2 linked regions of the Stegostoma tigrinum genome follow. The protein of the gene in region 2 interacts with the protein of the main gene of each other region in a pairwise test. Links are inferred from orthologs where the notes say so. Each region holds a gene or a part of one and is shown on either strand. Other genes may lie near its edges.

Region 1 (7,101 bases), on a different chromosome or scaffold from region 2:
CACATCATTAACTACGATTCCAAGGCACCACTCTCTCACAGAGGCAGACCTCCCAGATTCTTCCAACATGTAACACATTTGCAACACGCTGGCTCAGCTAGTAGCATTGCTGCCTCACAGCGCCAGGGACCTGGGTTCGATTCCATCCTCGGGCGACTGTATGGGTGGAGTTTACATATTCTCCCCATGGCCTGCATTGGGTTTCCTCCAGATGCTTTGCTTTCCTCCCACAGTCCAAAGATATGCAGGTTAGGTGGATTGGCCATGCTAAATTGCCTGTAGTGTCCAGGGGTGTGTAAGTTAGATGGATTAGACAGGGTATAGGGAAAGGATAGAAGAATGGGTCTGGGTGGGATGCTGTGGACTTGTTGGGCCTAATGGCCTGTTTCCACACCGTAGGAATTCTATGATTTAAACCCCAGCTGTGCACCATTTTAAACACTGTAATCCAGGAACTGCCCTTCATGTGTTGCTGTACAAATGCAAAGATCATGCTGAATGAGCCAATTTGGCACCACAATTCTGTGACAAGGACCTGAAGTTCTGGTGGCCTGGTTGTTGGAGACCATGGCTGTATTCTTTATTTAGGACAGGTGAAAGAGACCAAGGCACCAAATTATGCTAGACTAATTAAAGTAGGCCAGTTGGGTTACTGCGGTATCCATGATCTGGAGGAATGCCAGCAATGCTGCAAGAGTTTATCTGAACTTGGAATTAATATTTTATCAAAAGAAATTGAAACTATTTAACCCAAACAAAAACCTCTGTTTTGGTTTACATCTGTAAGGAGATGAGAGAAATGACCTGATGTTACCAAGCTTGAAAAACGATGAACCCCACTTTCAAATATACAAACCAGATTGTCTTTCAGTATGTGTCCTTGACAGAGCATAAGAGATGGATTTGTGACTGCAGAACTAGAGAAAGTTCTCTCTTGATGTTCTGAAAAGGAAAAGTGCCCAGTGATACAAATGATTAAAAAGAAATGTCAGAACAGTGAGAATTCAGATATTTGCTGTTGATGAAGATAAAAGATAGTGATTAAACAACTACGGTTTCAGGTTAAATTCTTATACCCAAGGACCCGCTAAAGACTGCAAAGTTTTCTTTTGTAAATCTTCCTTTTGTACTGAGCCCTATCTCTTCTTAACTTTGCATTTCTGTCTATCTATGTTTGATTTTGCATTTCTTTGTTATTTTTCTCAAGGTTAGCATATTATAATATTGCAGCTTCTTTCACTCATGAAAACACTGTAGTTGGCTCCTTATCAGTACAGTAGATATTGGATAGCTACATTTTGAAAACACACCAACGCTTGACGGACAAGGAGAACCCATGGGTTCTGGAACAGTTGGAATGACTGTAGAGGAGCTGGGCACATTTTGTTTCCACACTGTTTGCAAGTTTGCAGCTTTCATATGGTCCATTTGCTTGTTCAGGACTGATCTACCTACCCAAACTTTGTATATTAGTGGACCTGATGATCATGCCTCTTTCCTATGCAGGTCCATTCCCATGGTTCCTATTACTGAACTTTGTCCCGAAGTAAACTGTCTCTCTCATTTAGCAGAGTCCTGGGTCTGGCATTGACATTCCTAATGTCATTTCACCCTCCCCACCCCTCCAGGTCCAGGAAGATCAGATTTAACCTGGTGCAGAATCTTCTCCCCATTAGCAACTCTGCTGGAGCTATCCTTGTAGTTACATGATGGGTTGCCCTATAATCAAACAGGAACCGACAGAGTTTGGTATCGAGTGAAGCTGTAGGCTGCTTCTGTAAGCTTACCTCCAATGTTTGCACAGCCCTTTCTGCCAGACCATTAGATGATGGAGGGTATGGAGTTTACTTGTACGTCAAATACCACTCGATTTTAGGAAATACTCAAATGCCCACTTGTAAATGCTGGCCTGTTATTTGCGACAACACCTGTAGAGTCCGTGTATTCCAAAAGATGCACGCAGTATTTCTGTCATCATCCCAGTGTTTGATGAATGCACATCCAGCCATTTCGAGTGGGTGTCCACAATGATGAAGAATATTGAATGCATGAAAGGATCTGCATAGTTGAAGTGCAAATGAGTTTACCTGGCCATTCTCACAAATGTCAGGGATTTGCCAGCAGTAATTTTGCCTTTTGTCCTTGTTGGCACTCTGACACTGCCCCACCAATGCAGCTATGTCTGCATCCAGCCCTGGCCACTGAACATAACTTCTTGCTAACATCTTCATTTTGGAAGCCCCTGAATGACTCTTGTGGAGTTCAGCCACAATCTGGCAGGACCTTTGCTTGGGACAATCATTCTTGCTCCCCATAAATAATACGCCAGCCTCTACTGTGACCTGGTTTCTCCAGGTCTAAAAAGATTTCAGCTCTGGTTGTGATGGCCCTTTGCTTCTCACCACACCACCACCCCCGCCTCGCTACCAGTTCATCCTGTTTTGCCAGGACTGGATCCTTCTGTGTCCAAAGTCTGATATTATAGAACATAGAACATTACAGCACAGTACAGGCCTTTCGGCCCTCGATGTTGTGCCGACCTGTCATACCAATCTGAAGTCCATCTAACCTACTCTATTCCATGTACGTCCATATGCTTGTCCAATGGTGACTTAAATGAACTTAAAGTTGGTGAATCTACTACCGTTGCAGGCAACGCGTTCCATTCCCTTACTACTCTCTGAGTAAAGAAATTACCTCTGACATCTGTCCTATATCTTTCACCCCTCAATTTAAAACTATGCCTCCTCGTGCTCGCCATCACCATCCTAGGAAAAAGGTTCTCCCTATCCACCCTATCTAACCCTCTGATTATTTTATATGTCTCAATTAAGTCACCTCTCAACCTTCTTCTCTCTAACGAAAACAGCCTCAAGTACCTCAGCCTTTCCTCATAAGATCTTCCCTCCATTCCAGGCAACATCCCAGTAAATGTCCTCTGCACCCTTCCAAAACTTCCACATCCTCCTTATAATGCGGTGACCAGAACTGTATGCAATACTCCAAGTGCCAGAGTTTTGCACAGCTGCAGCATATTGTCAGCTGTGACTGGAAGTGTGCCCAGAAGACTTAAAACCAGAACGAACTCTTCCAGGGGTTGTACCATCAGTGGTGTATCTGCCAGTGGGAGGCTGCCCAATGCATCTGTGTTTGCTACTTGGCCTCCCAGACAGTGTTCCAATTTGTAATTATATGCAGTTAGCATTTCAGGAGGTTTGGGGTCATAATGTTCCTTAATTAAATCCAACAACCCTTGAAAGGTTTTAGTATCTACTGCCTAAGGAAAAGTTAGGCTCCTTATAACTGGAAAAAATTGCAGATCCACAAACTGTCAGGAGAATTATTCGTTGCTTTTCATCTGCCCCGAAGTAATATTCTTTCCACAGCCTTCAATAGCAGGATCGAACAAATCAAGTTTCCCAAATAACTGCACGATGCCAGAAATGCTTACCCCAACTCAAAAACAAATGCTGCGAGTGAATTTCTACAGGACCGAGCTTTTCACTTGTCACCACTGAAATAACTCCACAGAGGCCGGTATACTGTCACCAAGTCATCCTTTATTTACATGTGGAGTTCATGCCTGACAATCCAGTTCTCATCTGTCAGGCAGGGCTCCCTAATTGGACCATATTAACAGCCCTAATCAGGGAACTCATTCTATGAGAAACACTGCACTCATCTTTTGGTGTACACGGACTCGCAGAGGTGTTTTCGTAAATAACAGGCTGACCTTGTTACAATCACTGCCAACACAATGGAAAACAATGCAGAAACGATAGGAGATTGACAATCAGTCAAAATGCTCAGAGAGCCTTTGCAGATGTCAGGGACTGAATGACCTCCATGTGCATCAACTCAATGAGTTTTAAAAAGGGTGCACTTTTGTTTTATTTAATGGAACTGGGTGAACCCAGGGTATCCTTACAAGTTTATTTAAGCAAGTATCTGTGAGGAGAACAGACAGTGGAAATATGACTTTTTTTTCAGCACAACACTTGTCATCTGGTTAGCCACTTGTTAAAATATGTCTTCGTCTGTAGTGAGACCTCCGGAGGGAGGGTGGTGCTAGAACAAGATATTTCTTCTCTCAGACTGCTTGGACTGTCTATTTTACTGAAGGTTTTGAGCGGATGATTGGAGAAGGCTCGTGGTCAGTTTGAGAAAGAAAGGGGGTTGGGAGCTGATCAGTTTTCCGACAGAGAGAAAAGCAGCAATGGCAGCGGCGCATAGAGTCATCGTGTATGGAGGAAGGGGAGCTTTGGGCACGAAATGTGTTGAGTTTTTTAAATCCAAACACTGGGTAAGTTTCAGCAACGAGGGAACTCGCAGACACACCGGGAGACAATTTATTGGGAGGCGGGTAGTGAAAAGAATGCAGTTCGTCGTTTCAGATCACAACCTATCACTTCGCCATATGTTACAATGAATTAAAGGATAATCGGCGGCGTTCGCACTGCATTAAACACAGTTACGAGTGAAGCTGCGGCTGAGTTCACAAACAGGCCATGACTTTCACGTTATGCCGGAGTTTCATTTCTGTCCGAACCTAAATCACCGTCTCCTTCACTGTCTGATAACTTTTCTCGGTTGCAGTGGGTTGCCTCCATTGATCTCATGTCTAATGAAGAAGCGAATGCAAATATCATCGTGAAAACGAGCGAGTCCTTCACTGAGCAGGCGGAACAGGTAATAATTATTGCAGTGAATGCTGCTGGCAGATCCAGGTAGACGACATTGGACCTTAGTTGTAGCTTTTAATGTCGGGCCTTCCACAGGGCTGGATGAATTAGACATTGGGGATTGACATTTTGCAAATGCCTTGCATTGCCGCAGGTTACCACAGAGGTTGCCAGTCTTCTTGGGGAACAGAAGGTGGATGCCATTATTTGCGTAGCAGGAGGATGGGCTGGTGGCAGTGCAAAGGCAACGTGTAAGTCTATATTGCAGTTTGTTAAAGCTTATGTTCATATTTTATAGTTCTGTAGGCTAAGAAAACTTATGTTATGCTGAGATCTCATGTAGTTGAATGAACGTATGTTGATGAGTTCTATTTTCACAATTACATCTTACAGATTCTTTTAACTGCACACTGCTTTAGTCAGTAATATGGTTTAATCCAAAAATCCCATTTCTAGTAGAGTACTTAAGCAAGGAAACAAGAACTGTTGTATTTATTGACCTTGAGTTGGCATTCTTTGCCCGTGATATGCCATTGGAAATTTTTTCTGCTTAAAACTGACCAATTATAAGCTTTAGCACAGAAAATAATGGTAAATATATTTCATAAATGCTTTTAGATAGTTGATTACAGACATATGTAAATAGAAGTAATCCAGACTTATTTGTTAAGTACCAATAAAGATGAAAAAAATCATTGTAATGATATAAAAATAATTTTATGATGCTCCAAAGATGTGATCTCTTTTTCTCTTTGTTTTGCTGCAGTTTTTCCTTAGTTTATATTGAACATTGGAAATAATCAGTATCTGATATTCATTTTTCAAAGCTCTTTTTAAAAATGCTGAGTTGATGTGGAAACAGAGTGTGTGGACATCAACAATCTCCAGTCATTTAGCTACAAAACATCTGAAAGATGATGGCTTGTTGACACTGACAGGGGCAAGTCCTGCTTTGAAGGGTACAGCAGGTGAGCAAAGTTTCTCCTATTACCCCTTGACGCATAAGCTGACGTCTGTCAGTGTTAGCACTTATACCTGTTCACTGTATTCAATGTAATGAATCTCCTGAAGTGTCATGTGATGCAGTGGCATTGTCTCTGTCTCTGAACCAAAAGATCTGTGATCAAGCTAGCTTAAGTAATTTTCAGGGGACAGATGGGCCAGGTTCACATTTTGCTTTCGAGTCTGGCATGTCACAGAGATGTGTCCTAATGTGTCCAAACAGGTTAGTTTAAAAACAATATATCTGTGCAGTACTGGATGTAATTCCTGAAATTGTTAAAAGAATGGGCTCATATGGACATTGGTAGTGTCCCTACTCCTGGGCCAGAGAGCCTAGTTAAAGGCGCAACTGTCCTGATGATGTCATAACATAGAACATTACAGCACAGTACAGGCCCTTCGGCCCTCGATGTTGTGCTGACCTGTCATACCGATCTCAAGCCCATCTAACCTACACTATTCCATGTATGTCCATATGCTTATCCAATGACGCCTTAAATGTACCTAAAGTTGGTGAATCTACTACCGTTGCAGGCAAAGCATTCCATTCCCTTACTACTCTCTGAGTAAAGAAACTACCTCTGACATCTGACCTATATCTTTCACCCCTCAATTTAAAGCTATGCCTCCTCGTGCTGGCTGTCACCATCCTAGGAAAAAGGCTCTCCCTATCCACCCTATCTAACCCTCTGATTATTTTATATGTTTCATTTAAGTCACCTCTCAACCTTCTTCTCTCTAACGAAAACAGCCTCAAGTCCCTCAGCCTTTCCTCGTAAGACCTTCCCTCCAAACCAGGCAACATCCTAGTAAATCTCCTCCACACCTTTCCAAAGCTTCCACATCCTTCTTATAATGCGGTGACCAGAACTGTACACAATACTCCAAGTGCGGCCACACAAGAGCTTTGTACAGCTTCACCATTACCTCTTGGTTCCAGAACTCGATCCCTCTATTAATAAAAGCTAAAACAGTGTTTGCCTTCTTAACAGCCCTGTCAACCTGGGTGGCAACTTTCAAGGATCTGTGTACATGGACACCGAGATCTCTCTGCTCATCTACACTACCAAGATTCTTACCATTAGCCCAGTGCTTTGCCTTCCGGTTACTCCTGCCAAAGTGCATCACCTCACACTTGTCTGCATTAAACTCTATTTGCCACCTCTCAGCCCAGCTCTGCAGCTTATCTATGTCTCTCTGCAACCTACAGCATCCTTCGTTACTATCCACAACTCCACCGACCTTAGTGTCGTCTGCAAATTTACTAACCCATCCATCTACGCCCTCATCCAGGTAATTTATAAAAATGACAAACAGCAGTGGACCCAACACCGACCCTTGCGGTACACCACTAGTAACTGGTCTCCAGGATGAACATTTCCCATCAACTACCACCCTCTGTCTTCTTTCAGCAAGC
Region 2 (7,382 bases):
TGCCACTAAAGTGAGTGGTAGAGAAAAGTGTGCAGAAGACAGTCTACAGAGGGATATGGATAGTCGAAGTGAGGGGGCAAAGGTCTGGCAGATGGAGTACAATGTTTATAAGTGTGAGGTCATCCATTTTGGTAAGAATAACAGCAAAATGGGCTACTTTTTAAATGGTAAAAAATTGCAGCACGCTGCTGTGCACAGGGACTTGGGTGTCCTTGTGCATAAATCGCTGTAGGTGGGATTGCAGGTGCAGCAGGTGATTAAAAAGGCAAATGGAATTTTGTCTGGTCATTGCTCAAGGGATGGAGTTTAAAAACAGAGGCTATGCTGCAGCTGTATAGGGTCCTGGTGAGGCCACAACTGGAGTACTGTGTGCAGTTTTGGTCTCCTTACTCGAGAAGGGATATACTAGCACTGGAGGGGGTGCAGAGGAGATTCCCTTGGTTGATTCCAGAGTTGAGGGGGTTGGATTATGTGGAAAGACTGAGTAGACTGGGATTATACTCAGTGGAATTCAGAAGAACGAGGGGCGATCTTATAGAAACATATAAGATTATGAAGGGAATAGATATAAGTGGAGGCAGGGAGGTTGTTTCTGCTAGCAGGTGAAACTAGGACTGGAGGGCATCGCCTCAAAATAAAGGGAAGCAGATGTAGGACTGAGGTCAGGAGGAACTTCTTCACCCAAAGGGTTGTGAATCTGTGGAATTCCCTGCCCAGTGAAGTGGTTGAAGCCACCTTGCTGAATGCTTTTCAGGCAAGGCTAGATAAAATTTTGAAATGTAAAGGAATTAAGGGTCATGGTGAGTGGGCAGGTAAGTAGAGCTGAGTCTCAAAGATCAGCCATGATCTTATTAAATGGCAGGGCATGCTTGAGGGGCCAGATGGTCTACTCCTGATTCTAGTTCTTATGCCAATGGCATGTTTGAAATTTAATATATCTGGCAAATGAACCAAAGGAGATTTAAAGTTTTTTACTAAATGCAACAAGTTGTAATAATCCATGGCACACTGCTTGAAAGGATGGTGGAAGAGATTCAAAAGTAACTTTCCAAAAAGAATTGAAGGAGGAAAAATAACGTTGCAGGAATGCCGATGACATCCAGGGTACTAAAACATTAAAAGCTCTTTCAGGAAGCTGGCAAGGGTGTGATGGTGAAACAGCCTCCCCCTATGCCGTATAATTCTCAACTAAAGGTTGAAGTTGTCAGTGCCTTCTGATAGAGCTGGGGAAAAATGGTGAAACCAAAAAAGTATATTCTCCTTCAGTGCCTTCACTGCAAATTTGGACTGATTCCTCAACCCTCCAGTTATTGAAAGGGCCAAGGAAAGTTAGAATGGGGAAAATTTGTGGGAAACAAAACAATCGTGCAAATGCAGATTTGACCCCTTAAGTGTTGATTTCCCCCCCACCGCCACCAAGAAAGGAAATACACATTCCCTAGCTTTTACTCTGCCTAAATTAGGAAAAAATGTATCATTTAATGTTTTTGTATATTGTCATAATAAAATAATCTTTAATAAGACAATATACAGAAGTACCAATTGCACACATTTAAAAAGAAATTATACTTGCAAACTCTGCCATCTGTTTCAGTAACAAATAGGTGTCACATTATAATATAGTAGAACTAATTATAAATGTCAGTCCTCATGGTGAAGGGAACTTACAACTTTAGTGACTGTTCTTCCTTCCCACTTCACTCTGACCATTGTAAAGTATATATAAAGCATAAAAATTATAAAGATTTATTTAGTGACAAGATAATGCAATGTAAATTGAGTAAAGGTAATTCAAACTATCAAGTTTGCTCCTCTCTCGAACAGTGCATCATCTTTCCTGTTGTGAAAAAAACTATATTTTATATTAAATCAAGACAAGGGTAACTGTCGGTCTCACATATCAACTAATCATCTCCAATCTTGAAATCAGATATTGAAAAATTCCAATCCAACTTAAACAATTTAACTTGAGGAAACAGTAGTTCTTTCAGTTTTGCCTTGAGTTTTTTTGCACTTATGGTAGCCTCAAAAGATTCCAACTAAATAATGTTTAAAATTAACTGTGTGAATACCTTGGAACATTTACAACACGCCCTATTTCAACCATTTAACTAAACTGAAAGGGGAAACACGTTGCTTTGGAACTAGTGAAGATTTTGGATTCTTTCGGCTGAAGAAAATTAGATCTTCAAAGCAGTAACAGACTTTAAATATCTTCACCTATAAACATCATCTCAGGGAAGCTCTCCACCACCTACTGTGAAGTTTAAACCGTTTCTAAGCGCAATCATACGCTGAATAAAACCTTGCCCAGTATCAGTGACTTACTTGTTTCAGTTCTTCCTCAACTTCTCTATACTGGTTGCGCCAGACCAACAGGTGAAGTTTATATTTGTTCTTGACGTCTTCCAATGAACACATCCTAGTTCTTCAGCTTCAATCGACCTCCGCCCTTTCCTCTATAAACCCCTCCCTCTAAAGTGAAAAGAGGACAGCGGGAGGGTGAGGAGAGAAAACAACAGAACTTCTGAAACTTTCCAAAAAAACTTTACAGGAAGAGATGGACAACAAGGAAATACAATCCATCCAGCCTAGAGGAGGGGTCTATAATAAGCACACTAGCACCCTTTTCAATAAATGTCGGCATATTTGCTGATCTGTATGCTTATAAGAGTGATATAGTGAAATTATTACTTGTCGAACGACTTGATGCTTTGCTTCACTTTTTTCCACTATCAACCATTTTCGACACTACAGGAACCCCCCTCCTCTTCCCTTTAATTGTGGTTCAGCCCAAACTAAAGTATCGAGTGGATCGGCAGGTAAACACTAGCTGATTACTTTCTCGGCTCACGAATAAAGTGACAGGTCTACATGTTCCATTCAACATGATGTCGCATTTGGTAACATTAAAAAATATTTTGCAAGGGGGAAAAGTAATGTGTGAAAAGTTTCTGTTCAGGAAACCACATTTTTATAACTTCAGCTTTCCCCCCCTCGCGCTCCTCGTCTTCCGACGCCTGCGTTTGGTTTGGCTTGTATACGCATGCGTGACGCCCGGGCAGTCCTCCAAGATCCCGGCATACCATTCGACGTCTCCAAGCTGCTTGAGCCAGAGGCGAGTCTGACAGGAACTGTAACCTGAGTGCAAACTTCATGTTGACGGCAGTTTGTAGTTAGAATTAAAACGCGTCTCCCGTTAAATTTTAGCGTGTGTCGTGTGATTTTTGTTTTTATTTAAGATCCCGATTAAACGGCATTATTAGTTAACTGCCTCTGTCCATGTCGAAAAGATTGAGGAGTAACGACATCTGCGCCGACTGCAGCGTCCCCGGTAAGTGATTGTGGGGGAGGTAAAGGTCTGGGGGCAAAAGAAGGGCCCTTTAGAAATGCTTTTTGTTTAAAAATGCTGAGACTTATCGTGCTGCTAACTGGGACTGGGAGAGGAAATTCAAACAAGCTTCAGTTCTGTCTGACACACGCGCACAGACACGGAGGAAGTGAGAGAGAGCTAAAAGATGCAGAAACGCTGCAAGCCAACTAGGACGCAGCCAGGAAATATCCAGCAACCGGTTTGTGTTCTTTCATTCCACTCCCTTCAACCGTGCTCTTCCTTTCTCTTTATAAAAAAAGCAGCACATTTTCAGCATAAAAATCATTCGTAGCACCCACTTCCTCAAACTTGTGGCCTCTATCCCGTCTGCACAATTCAAGTTTTAGTTTGTTAACCAATTTTTTATATTAAAGCTGTGGGTTCTAATCTTTCATAGACTGATTAGTATGCCGTATTACTGTTTGCTTGTCGGAGTTAATACAGTTTACTGTATGCATCCACTTGTAGATTTTGTGCATATCTCTTCTGTTATTCACTTGCTCATTTGTACTTATTTTTCTGTAAACTTGACAATTCTTTTTCTTCTGTAGTTGGTGTTTTTTTTGGTGGGTGAGGATTCCTCTAAATGGAGCAGCATTTACAGTGATCCCTTGTACAATGGCTGCTTCAATGTTTCTTTGTACATGGAGTAATTTTTTATGAGTTAGAAATTCAACAATTTATTTTGTAGTGATGTAATTTTCATTATAATAGGGTACAGCATTTTTTTCCTCAGCAATTGCAGTGTAATTTTTGTGCTGGTAGTATGTTAACTTGTGATAGCTTTGTCAAGACTTTACAATTACAGAACTTAATATTGTAACTTGTAGAGAGCAGCTAATATTTTGCAATTGCTTTTAGGTCTATAATGATGCATAGCATTGAGTAATAAGGTAGAATATGGAAGAATTGTTGCACGCTGAATTTTAGAAGTAATTTTCTTTGCTCCCTGCTGCAAACTGTTCCCTAGTTTACAGACTCCATATCTCCTTGAAAACTACGTGAGCCTCTGTGTCATATTTGACTCCAAGATGAGCTTTAAATATTTTTCCACCACCTTGCTAAGAATGAGTTTGCACTTCCAAAACATTGCTAGGTTTGTTCCTGTTTTTATTTAAATACTTCTGAGACCCTTGTATGCCCTTGTTAACTGAAGACTGGTCTGTTCAAATGCATTTCTGCCTCCTATATTGTACACCCCCCTAAACTCAAGTTTATCTAAAACTCTGCTGCCCAAGGTTCTTACTCCTGTTTGGGTCCTGTTTAACGATCACATCTATGTTTGCTGACCTACAATGTTTCCCAGTCAAGCAACATTTCAATTTTAAATTTTTTATCCTTGTCTTTGCCCATCTATATCTGTCTAATGCCCTTCTGATGCACAGCCCTCCATGAAGACTGCATTCATTTTATTTTCTCCTCAAGCATCTTCAATTTTAATTGCTGCGCCATTATTGACTCTGCTTTCCTTTACTAAGGCACTTAAGTTTTCAAATTCCTTCCCAAATCTTGCTTCTATTTCTTTCTCCTTGAAGGTGGCCTGCAAAGTCTATCTCTTTGACCAAGCTATTCACTAGCTGCCCTAGTACTACGTCTGGTCAAATTTTGTTGTGAAGCACCATGGGACCTTTTATTACATTAAATGCAATATGTAAGTGCAGATTGTTGTTCTATGATATGGCCATGCCAGATCTCCAAGTAAAGTATGCTCTGAATGTTGGAAATGTGAAATGACAGAAGCTGAAAAAGCATGCCAGCCCAGCCAGCAGCTGAAGGAGAAAGATGAATCGATGAAGATCTTATCAATAACAATGTGTTATATTTTATGTGGTTATTATTTTTAAATGTACTTCTGTTTTTCTTATGTTTATGTGACTTACATTTGAATTGTTAATCTACACTAACCAAAGGAGAGAGATTGATTTTACCTTCTAAGTTTCAGTTGAAAGTGTATGCAACACGTTTTCATGTGAAATCAGTGCATTCGGCTAAACGTCTTTACAATTGGTCAGTGCGTTGAGATTAGGAGTTGGGATGTCATGTTGCGGCTGTACAGGACATTGCTTAGGCCACTTCTGGAATACTGCATTCAGTTCTGGTCTCCTTGCTATAGGAAGGATTTTGTATAACTTGAAAGGGTTCAGAAAAGATTTACAAGGATATTGCCAGGCATGGACGGTTTGAACTGTTGGGGGAGGCTGAATAGGCTGGGGCTATTTTCCTGGGAGCATCAGAGACTGAGAAGTGACCTTATAGAGGTTTGTAAAATCATGAGGGGCATGGATAGGTTGAATAGTCAAGGTCTTTTCCCTGGGGCAGGGGAGTCCAAAACTAGAGGGCATAGGTTTAAGGTGAAAGGGGAAAGACTTAAAAGGTCCTAAGGGGCAGCTTTTCCACACAGATAATGGTGCATACATGGAATGACCTGTCAGAGGAAGTGGTGGAGGCAGGTACAGTTACAACTTCTAAGAGGCATCAGGATAGTTATATAAATAGGATGGATTTAGAGGGATATGGGCCAAGTGCCTGCAAATGGGAACAGATTCATTTAGGATATCTGGACGGCATGGCCGAGTTGGACATGCTGTACAGCTTTATGATCATAGTCATTTGTAACCTTTCTGAAAGTCTCCTGAAAACTGCTCTTTTATGATTGTATTGCTTATTGCCTCCCTATTAACTGTCCCAATGTCCATAGATACCTTATAGTGTTTATCTTTAATTCTTTAAAACTAAACTCTACATAAATATAAGCCTACTTTCAACAAAAAGTTTAAGATGCCTTGACTGAATTTAACTTTACCTACATTGTTCGCCTACACAGCAAGTCAATTTCTTCTCCAAAATGGCAACCATGTTTTAGAAATCTTGCATTTATGTTGTATTTTTCCTGATGACTGTCACACATCACTTTAGAACCAATGAATGATGTAGTCACTGTAATTTTGGAACTAAAGCAATCAATTTGTGCTCTGTCAGCTCTGTGCTACAGCATGTGATGATGGCCAGGTAATCTGTGGTGTGGATTCTTGGGATTAACCAGGACACGGGGTTTTGACATTCAAGTGAGCAAATAGTTGGACCTCCTTTCTAAAATTTACGGAAGGACGCCATGTGCCATTGCTGCACTCCTTCAGTACTGCAGTTTTAGTCTTAATATATGCTGAGGCTCTGATGTTGGACTTAAACTTGCTGTGGTTTGTTTCTCCAGTGTTTCACTTGGATTTCAATAAATAGTTATGACCATGTGAACTTTTCATATCATGGCTCTTTTCACAATTCAAGGGATTAAGCAATGGTTATTAACTGCTCTTCTTCCAAATTGTGGTCAAAAATGTAGTAAGTATCTGAGGTCCACAAAAGCTGGTTGTTGGCTACAGTACAGTGTGGAGCTGGAGGAACACTGCAGGCCAGGCAGCATCAGAGGAGCTTGAAAGTTGACGTTTCATGTCAGGATCCTTCTTCAGTCACAATTTGAATCATCAACTTTCCTGCTTCTCTGATACTGCCTGGCTTGCAGTGTTCCTCCAGCTCCTCACTGTTGTCGCTAGCTGCAGTATCTTGAGGTTCTTGCAATCTCTGAACTTTTTGTTGGAAACTGACTTACCACTGATGTTATATCAGAGATAATGGGAACTGCAGATGCTGGAGAATCTGAGATAACAAAGTGTGGAGTTAGATGAACACAGCAGGCCAAGCAGTTTCTTAGGAGCACACAAGCTGACGTTTCGGGCGTAGACCCTTGATCAGAAAAGGGGGATGGGGAGAGGGTTCTGAAATAAAAAGGGAGAGAGGGAGAGGCAGATCGAAGATACGGAGAGGAGACAGACAAGTTAAAGGAGCGGGAATGGAGACTGTAGAGGTGAGTATCGGTGGGGAGGTAGGGAGGATGGACAGGTCAAGGGGGTGGGATGAGATTAGGAGGTAGGGAATGGAGGTGTGGCTTGAGGTGAGAGGAAGAACACGTTCGGGAGGCAGGTCCACCCACTGCATCCCAAATCCAGCCCAG

Evidence for each region.
Region 1: the proteins of ankrd13a (region 2) and dihydropteridine reductase-like interact in a two-hybrid assay, tested with the Homo sapiens proteins (2 studies listed by BioGRID). The two-hybrid records come from large-scale screens. The link is inferred for Stegostoma tigrinum from reciprocal best matches to the Homo sapiens genes ANKRD13A and QDPR.

What each region holds. Positions count from the first base shown.
Region 1 is NC_081354.1:83,357,860-83,364,960, reverse strand, and holds the start of dihydropteridine reductase-like, read left to right. Parts: upstream 1-4,087; 5' UTR 4,088-4,216; coding exon 4,217-4,303; intron 4,304-4,596; coding exon 4,597-4,689; intron 4,690-4,836; coding exon 4,837-4,933; intron 4,934-5,509; coding exon 5,510-5,650; intron 5,651-7,101. UniProt on the Homo sapiens protein: Catalyzes the conversion of quinonoid dihydrobiopterin into tetrahydrobiopterin.
Region 2 is NC_081379.1:12,953,738-12,961,119, reverse strand, and holds the start of ankrd13a (ankyrin repeat domain-containing protein 13A), read right to left. Parts: upstream 3,026-7,382; 5' UTR 2,842-3,025; exon of another isoform or gene 2,695-2,841; intron 2,628-2,694; exon of another isoform or gene 2,476-2,627; 5' UTR 2,422-2,475; coding exon 2,329-2,421; intron 1-2,328. Other genes in the region: ARF GTPase-activating protein GIT2a, read left to right, coding at 3,283-3,334. UniProt on the Homo sapiens protein: Ubiquitin-binding protein that specifically recognizes and binds 'Lys-63'-linked ubiquitin. Does not bind 'Lys-48'-linked ubiquitin.